Oryzias latipes: one gene and its partner. The protein of the gene in region 1 purifies or fractionates together with the protein of each later gene. This does not show direct contact. Links are inferred from orthologs where the notes say so. Each region holds a gene or a part of one and is shown in the gene's direction. Other genes may lie near its edges.

Region 1 (4,295 bases):
AAATTCTCTTCCCAAAGCTGTAATACCTCGAAATGGACATTTTTAAATATGAAGGGCCAGAACCTGAGCAACTAGTGAAAAGAGGAAAGGGCTAAGAGGACATCCCTGCCATATTCCTCTGTTTGTGTCAAATCTAGGAGTTGTGCCATGTGCAACTTTAATGGAGCTGTTGCATCCATTGTACAGACCCTCCATCACTTTTAAAAATCTTTTACCAAATCCAAATTCTTTTATAACTGGAGTCATAAAACTGTGACTAATTATGTCAAATGCCTCGTAAAAGTCAACAAATAAGATAAAACCATCATCTCTAATATGTTCATTATAATCAATCATTTCTACTATTAATCTGGGAGCCGGTTTAGCTCGTGTTTGCGGCGCCTTCTGTCCGTGAAACCAGGGTTCGACTCCAGGCTGCTCCCTGCTCCCTTCTCTACCTCTGTGCCGGTCCTAAGCCCAGTTTGAGAAGGTTGCGTCAGGAAGGGCATCCGGCATAAAAACGTTGCCAAATTTACCACGCCCTGTTTACCACGCGTTCGCTGTGGCGACCCCTGATGGGAGAAGCCGAAAGAGGAAGAAGATATCTAGTATTAATCTGATATTGTTGGCAATATTTCTACCAGGCATGAAAGCAGATCATTCTTCTTCAATAATGTTATCCAGTCCTGGTTTTAATCTTTTGGTAAAAATGAGAGCAAATATTTTAGCATCATTGTTTAACAGACTAATTGGTCTCCAGTTTTCTATGCATAATTTATCTTTTTGTGGTTTGGGGATGAGTTTGATGATGCCTTGTCTGAGAGTTGGGGGCAATATACCAATTTCTAACACTTCTTCAAATAAATTAGCTAGAAAAGAGGTTAATTTGGCAATAAAACATTTATAAAACTCACTTGTTAGTCCTTCATTTGCTGGACTTTTATTATCTTTAAGAGATTTACTACAATTTTCAACTTCCTCTGTTTTAATTTTCTGGTCACAAGACTTTTCAAAGGTTTCAATTACTTTTCCAATCTTTTCTTTAATATTGTTGATAAATAGTTCAATATCTTCTTCTCTAAAGCAAATTTTAGTGTAAGTTTCCTGATAGAATTTTGCAACATATTGAGAAACCTTTTTTGTATCTTCACTTATTGAATTACCAATTTTAATTTGACGCAGACAGGAAATTTCAAAATCTCTTTGTTCTCAGTTGAAAAAGTATTTAGTACATTTTTCACCTTGTTCTAACCATTTTCTTCTGGATCTAACAAAGGCTTCTCCTGCTTTTTCTTCATATACTTTATTCGATTCTGATTGCAAAGAAATTAGTACGTTTTGTTGTAGATTAATTCGTTTTCATTGATAATCATTATTTTTCCTTATCATTATTGTCTTTGAATGCATCATAAGAGGGGGCGGGGAAAACGCGGAAGTGACGTCATCATTGATCGCAGTGTATCGTCTGCTTGACGGATAGGTGGGGGTACTTTTAAAGCGTTTGTTTGCTGTTTTGACCGTTTTCTCCATACCGTGTGAAAACAGTGCAGGCGTTAGGCGGGAAAGTTCCCGCAAGGCTTGTGCTCGGAAGCGCCGCGGTTACGCGCCGAGCTCGAGCCAACTTAGTTGGAGGGAGTTTCGCTGGAACCGCGCTCGTGAAGCAGGGGCTCGATCGCGTCGCCCCGCGGACCTGACGCTTTCCAGTAAATGGCCTGCACTTTGGAGAAAGTGTTGGGCGACGCTCGGACCCTCCTCGAGAGGCTGAAGGAGCACGACACGGCCGCCGAGGGTCTGATCGAGCAGTCCGGGGCCCTCAGCCGCAGAGTGCAGGACATGAAGGAGGTGGGAAATGCCCTTCCGGAGAAGGTAAAGACTCGGCGGATGAGACGTTCAGGTGCTGGGCGGCCATAGCTGCTGAAAATACCAGTGGGATTTTTTAATGGATAACTTTTGCTAGTAAATAACATGTTAGTACATTTTGTTTGACAGCACTTGGAAGACAATGCAGAACTACGGGAGCTCACAAAGTACAAACCTCATGTTCTTCTGACCCAAGAAAACACTCAAATCAAGGATCTGCAGCAGGAGAACAAAGGTAGGATTCTGTTCGGGCGGTTTCCACGGTGGGTCGTGTTTGTTCTAACCCTCTGGGTGGACTTTCTCCTCAGAATTATGGCTGTCTCTTGAAGAACACCAGTACGCTCTGGAACTCATCATGGGTCGGTACCGCAAGCAGATGCTGCAGCTGATGATGGCAAAGAAGGAGCTGGACACCAAACCGGTTCTGAGCCTCCACCAGGATTACGCCAAAGTACAGCGTCTTTCACACCATCTTTGTGCAGCGTGACATCGTCTCTTTGAGGGCCGGCTTTGGGAGAAAACTCGTGGCGTTTTTACTTGTCTCTACAGGAAGTGCAGAACAAGGTGGAGCAGATATGCGAGATGGGTCAGGTGATGAGAAGAGCCGTTCAGGTGGACGATCAGCACTACTGCTCCGTTCGAGAGAGGCTGGCTCAGCTGGAGGTGAGTACCGACGATCGAGCCTCTTTCCCCAAGAGGTCAGAGGTCATTTCTTCCCCCTAAAGCAGTATTAAAAGCAGCAGAGGGGACGGAGGAGGGCCCACGAAAACCTTCACAACAGCAGACGTTTGTCACAAGAACCAAAGATCTGAGAAGGAACTCCTTTTGTTTTGGTCCATCCATCCATTTCACCTCCAGATCTGACTTCACTGCGTCACTTAAAACTTACAGAAACCTTTTTTTTTCTCTTAAAAACTTCCAGAGATAAAGTTGTAGCCTGAAGGTTTTGAACGAAATGTCTTTTTCTAAAAAACAGGAAGCTGTCCAGTAAAACATTCTAAAGATCACATATTTGTTTGATTCTTGCAGCTTTATTGCATAAATGTTCTTTTTTCCTATAAAATCATTTTATATACATTAAAAAAACTAAGAATGATGAAAACTGCTGTGTTTAGGCAACTCAGTCCCAGGTTGGCGTTTTTAACAAGACTTTGGTTTTTTTCAAATGTTCTATGTAAAATACTTTAATACAGAGAATGTAGGCATTTGTCTTTATTTCATACTCTTCTTTTATCTAGAACAACAAACAATATAGGCAGTACAACATTTTAATTGTGAAAGACGTGTAAATCTTATCACATGTACACATTTAAATCTTTTGTTTTAGTGAAGAAGAAAAGTAGTAGATGGAGTCCGTTGGGAGGAAAGTATTCAGTCTCTTGGTTTTTTTCTCTCTTTCAGATTGAGAACAAGGAGCTTCAGGACCTTTTGGTCATCAGCAAAGAAAGCATCAAAATGTCAAAAAAAGAAGAACCCCACCAGCCTGAAGCAGCAGAACCGACTTCATGAGCTCCATCGAGCTCTGCGTGTGAATTTATTCCCTCAAATGGATTTATTTATAGAAAGTCATACGGCATCTTTAATACAAAAAAAAGATCTATCATCTTGTCTGCAGCTAAGATAATAATTAAAGTGTTACTGTGGACGGCATTCAATTAGCTGTTCTTTGAGGTGTATTTATTAGATTCTAACACGTGCTGTCAAAGTAGATTTAAAGTATTTTTTTGCCAAAGATATATATTTAATCGTCATAGTTTTTTTGGACCCCTGATGTTCACACAATCTCTACTGCCTCCTATTAAAGCCAAGCACCGCTCTGTTTCACAACAGAGAGGACCTTTGGGGAAAACAAGCAGTTTATTCTGATTATATTTACCTGTTTGTTTGAATGAACAGAAGTTTGGTTTGTGCTGTTGCATTTTGTGCAGTAGGTGTTTTTTAATTTTTTTGTATGAATGAAAAACGTTCTGTTTTCATCTCAGGAATTCAGTTTAACTTCATGGTTTGGTGTAAAACAAAATCAAACGATAATAATAAAAGAAGTGTTTTTCCAAGGCATTTGAGGTGTTGTCCCTTCTTCGAACGCAGGGCGGCAGCATCGAGTCAACTTACTAAAAACCTATCGCGAGATCGGAAAAAGTACAGCGCAAACGCTTTTAGGCTATTAAAAACCTATCAAATCACCTTTTCACGCAACTTTCATAATTTCCATTAGTTTGGTTGTAACAATATTTGTCACATTTAAGTGACATTTTAAAAAGACAATCGTCAGAAAGCTCGGATTTCCCACAGAACCTAAACGCCGCATGAGCCCTATATTTGACAGTTGTCGTTTTAAGCTAACGGATCCAGAATGTCTGAAAGGGAACTGGGGAGGAAGCTGGACCGATGCCTGGCAGATGGTGTCATTAAACTGGGTAAATAGAGTCGTGTTTGTCCGGTTTTGTCAACCTGAA
Region 2 (4,180 bases), on another chromosome or scaffold:
TAACTTTGAATGTCTCATTTAAAAACTCTTACATGTTTTTTTTTTTGAGTTGGTGAATGTATCATCATTTCACAGAGGCCCTCAGCCTTCGTTCTTGGAGTCTAATGGTTGCAGAGGCGTTTCCTCCGTCATCTCTCTGCATCGTTCGTCCCAATGTTGTGGTTTACTGCATCTGTTGTTGCTTCTTTGATGGAGTTGCTTAACTCACTGCGTGGCCTTCCGGTCTACTCATTTGTAGTCTTGTAAATGGTTTTAAATTCTCTCTTGAACAGGTACTCAACTTTTTAAACTCCAATCGACATTCCTCCAACAAGACTGTAAAATGGAATTGAAATGTAGTCTCCATGTTGAGCCAGAAATGAGATTTTTATTAGAACTAACAGAGAAGCAAATGCATTGTATCCCTAAATATTTTTATCTTTTAATGCAGCTGCTAAATTGTTTTATTTTCCTTTTTGCTTGTAACTGATTTAAATGATTAAATTGTATTGCTAACCATATGTAAGCATCAAGTATGATAGTAACTTAGCAGATTTAGACGACTGTTAATAATTTGATGGATGTTAAATGTTGAGTTACTGTTTTCTTTTTGTTTTGCCAGGAAAATAAAAGGTAAATTTGGACATTTGTAAATAAACGTGAGGCTGGTGGTGTCAACTGGAGATCTTTTTAGCGCCTCTGCAGTGGCGTCTGTCTCAGGAGGCAGAGCTAATGACTCAGATGATTTGAGACAACACAATTTCCTTTATTATAACTTCATTTTTATTATATTTTAACGTCTAAGAAGACTAAATGAATTGCTTCAGCTTAAAATAATAAAAAAAAGGTTCATTTTTAGCAAAAGTGAAAGATTCTAGAATTTAAATTTAACAGCTTTCTGTAGAGCAACTTTTTTTTTAATGCCCATAAAATCTTTAAAGATTTAGATTTTTGATTGACTCTAAAAGCCTGGACAACAAAAAAAAAAGATTCTAGCAATAGTAGGTCAAAATTTGTGCAGTGAATATGTCTGTGGACTAAAATAATGCTCAAAGAATAATAAAAACTATATTTTATTTGTCATTTCTTTGGCTGTTTCTGTTTTAATTTATTTTGAACAGATTAAACAAATGTTGCTGCTCAATATAAAGCTATCCTTTGGTCACATGAATAGGAAATACAGAGGTGTATATTAGCATTTATTTATGATTAGTTTTATTAAAGATAATGACGTTTATTTAAATTGAACAGGATTTATTAAATGGGGTGGGGTGGGGGTATTAGTCTTTTGGGGGGACCCGGGCCCCTCCTGGGGCCGCCCCTGCGAGTGAATCAAACGATGCCAGCCAACACGTTGTGGGTGTGGCTCCGCGGTGACGTCACCCCGTGACAGCTAGCTGTCAGAAAGTGAGTTCATTCGCCTCACACGGCGGAGACACAGCGCTTTCGACACGGTTTTCGCCTTCTGTTGGTATCGAGCCCAGCAGGTCATCGAGACTGCAGCCCAACCGCTTCACCGAGCCCGGCCATGGATGAACAGGCAGGGCCCGGCGTGTTCTTCAACAACAATAACAACTCTGTTCTGCCGGGCGGAGGGAAAGGACCGCTGCCGGATGGCGACGCAGGGGAGGCGGCGAGAGCGCAGTACAGTATCCCGGGGATCTTGCACTTCCTGCAGCACGAATGGGCCCGTTTCGAAGTAGAAAGAGCTCAATGGGAGGTGGAACGAGCCGAATTGCAGGTAAATAAACCATAATGTTGCAAACACAACACAAACTTAAATATTTGTCGGATTTAGGTCATTTTTAGACGAAGTCGTGATGAGTTTCTGGCTTCGATTGTTCTGGTTAGCTGCTAGCTTTAGCATTGCTGCTAAAGGAGCTACAGCGCCAATCCGACGAGTGTTTGCGACCTTTTTACTCTGACTCATGCCCCCCTAACTCGTGTCCTACCTTTAGGGGCTCATATTCTGTCTTTATGTGCTGTCTTTACATTCACACGACGGAACTAACTAGCAGCTAAATGCTATTACATGTACTAGCAAAGTAGTTATTATTATGTAGGGCACAACAGATTGTGTAGCTACACGCTACACACTGCTACCTTCATTCCACGGCTAAATTCATAGCACCTCACCTACGTTATTCTTTAAATCATATATTTATATGTATAATTATATTTTCGTTTTTTATGCGATTTAAGGAAATATAAAGTTAGGGAGACGGTTTTTGCTTATATATCCAGGAGGAGTCACAGTTTTCGATTAGTAGAGGCTACGTCTCCCTGTTTGATATTAAAATAATTATCCGCTGTGTTTTTGTACTTTTAGCTGCTCTAAGTGTTAAAATAAGTATTGTTTTAAAAACCCGTTGGGTTTAAAGGTTAAACCTTTCACTCCAAGCAGATTTAATGCCATAAATATACAATGTTTTTGCTAAATTTATTATTGTTTTGATTAGGTTAATGTTGATTAAATGACGTCTTTTGTGGGATTGTATAATATATTTAAATATTATTCTATGTTTTATTATGATTATGCTTCCATTCGTCTTTTTCATTTTGGCTTAAAAAAAGGAAATCAAAGTCTGTGACTTTATATCTAACACAACTTTGTCTCGGTTTGCGTCACCAACATGCTTTTTTGTTTTTTAAAAACAGTTTTAATTGTAACAAATATATATATCTTGGGTTGTGTAATAATTTGTAGGCCAAGACTCATCTGAAAAAGAGATCTGCAATGGGCTTTCCTGGTTAAATAATGAATAAACTTTTTTTTTTAAATTCCTCATCTTCTAATCCGTTTGTTCCCTTTCGGGGTCACGGAGCTGCCAGGGGTCGCCAGTCTGTCGCAGGGCTACAATTACACACATTCACACCTAAGGACAAGTTACAGTAACAAATTAACACATGAAGTATGTTTTTGGACGGTGGGAGGAAGCCGGTAGAAAACCCACGCATGTCCCCTATTGGTGTTCTATCCTTGCTGTGAGAGCGCTAACCAGCCATGGATAAATGTAAAAAATAAAATACTTTTTTTTTAAATGATATGAGTGAGCAGCATTCAACTTCATGGACTCGGAGCCAAATTTCTAGCATGTTTGCAGGCAGCACTTCAGCTAAGAAAGCGATCAAAAATGAGGGGGGGGGGTGTCACTGGATTGTTGCTGCACTGGTGGTGATCTTCACCTCCATCGGGGTTGCCTGGACTCTGCACACCTTCAGTTTCAGTCTGTGGGGTAGATTACGTTGCATCTCTGATGTTTAGAGACAAGATGATGGGTTCTGATGCTTAAGCAGCCGCGACTTAACCACGGAGGGGAACGGAGGGGTTTTTTGTGTGTCGCTCCTTGGAAAGTGTCGAGTACCTGTATGTGTTTCATCCTTATAATTGGACAGTAGGCCTGCACAATAAATCGCATACAAGGTATTACAATTGGGCGGCTGGGTAGCTCGGTTGGTAAGGTGGGAAGCTACCACGCAGGATACCAGGGTTTGATTCCCGGACGGGAATGATCAATGGTACTGGGGGCAATAACCATAACATTAACATCAACAACACGCTACTGCCTCCCGAACGTGGCTTGGCTGCAGCTCACCGCTCCCCCAGGGGATGGGTCAAATGCAAATCCCACCTTCGAGGGAAAAATACAGTAATAAAATAGGAAAATATGTTTTTGGTTGTTTTGATATTTATTCATGTATTTCAAGTTATATCGTCATCGCAATATTGATCACTGATATCGTATATCGCGAGTTTTCCCTCATGTCATGCAGCCCTATTAGACAGGTTTATGTGGTTTGGCTTTTTGTGTCATGGTGATAGTGCAGCCACTCGAGCATGATTTACTCGTACAGTTTTGACTCTAATAACTATTATGTGGTTTATAGTTTAACATCAGAATAAGGGTTAAATGTAAAGATGGACTTGTAATCCCCTTCAAGGATAGTTTTAGTAGTTTTGCAAAGAACATGTTGGTTACTCGGAGAAGATTGGGCGGCACAGGTATGCAGAGGAAGATGCCTTCAAGCAAATGGTTTTAAATTGAAATGATCAAATGAACGCCCTCATAATCGGCCACAGATTGGCTCTTCATCGACACACATCTGTGGATTTCTTTTAAACATAAGAGCAGACAGGTAGAGCTGTTGCTGTTTGGGCGGAAAGTAAACCACAGTTCCTGTAGGAATGCGGCCCAGCCAG

Evidence for each region. The genes of interacting proteins can lie anywhere in the genome.
Region 2: the proteins of sike1 (region 1) and strn purify together in Homo sapiens (affinity purification with mass spectrometry; 4 studies listed by BioGRID and IntAct, with this or other methods). This does not show direct contact. The link is inferred for Oryzias latipes from reciprocal best matches to the Homo sapiens genes SIKE1 and STRN.

Annotation. Positions count from the first base shown.
Region 1 is NC_019865.2:1,582,165-1,586,459, forward strand, and holds the start of sike1 (suppressor of IKBKE 1), read left to right. Parts: upstream 1-1,415; 5' UTR 1,416-1,686; coding exon 1,687-1,845; intron 1,846-1,968; coding exon 1,969-2,074; intron 2,075-2,147; coding exon 2,148-2,290; intron 2,291-2,388; coding exon 2,389-2,502; intron 2,503-3,240; coding exon 3,241-3,348; 3' UTR 3,349-4,256; intron 4,257-4,295.
Region 2 is NC_019873.2:28,037,097-28,041,276, reverse strand, and holds the start of strn (striatin), read left to right. Parts: upstream 1-1,362; 5' UTR 1,363-1,507; coding exon 1,508-1,720; intron 1,721-4,180. UniProt on the Homo sapiens protein: Calmodulin-binding scaffolding protein which is the center of the striatin-interacting phosphatase and kinase (STRIPAK) complexes.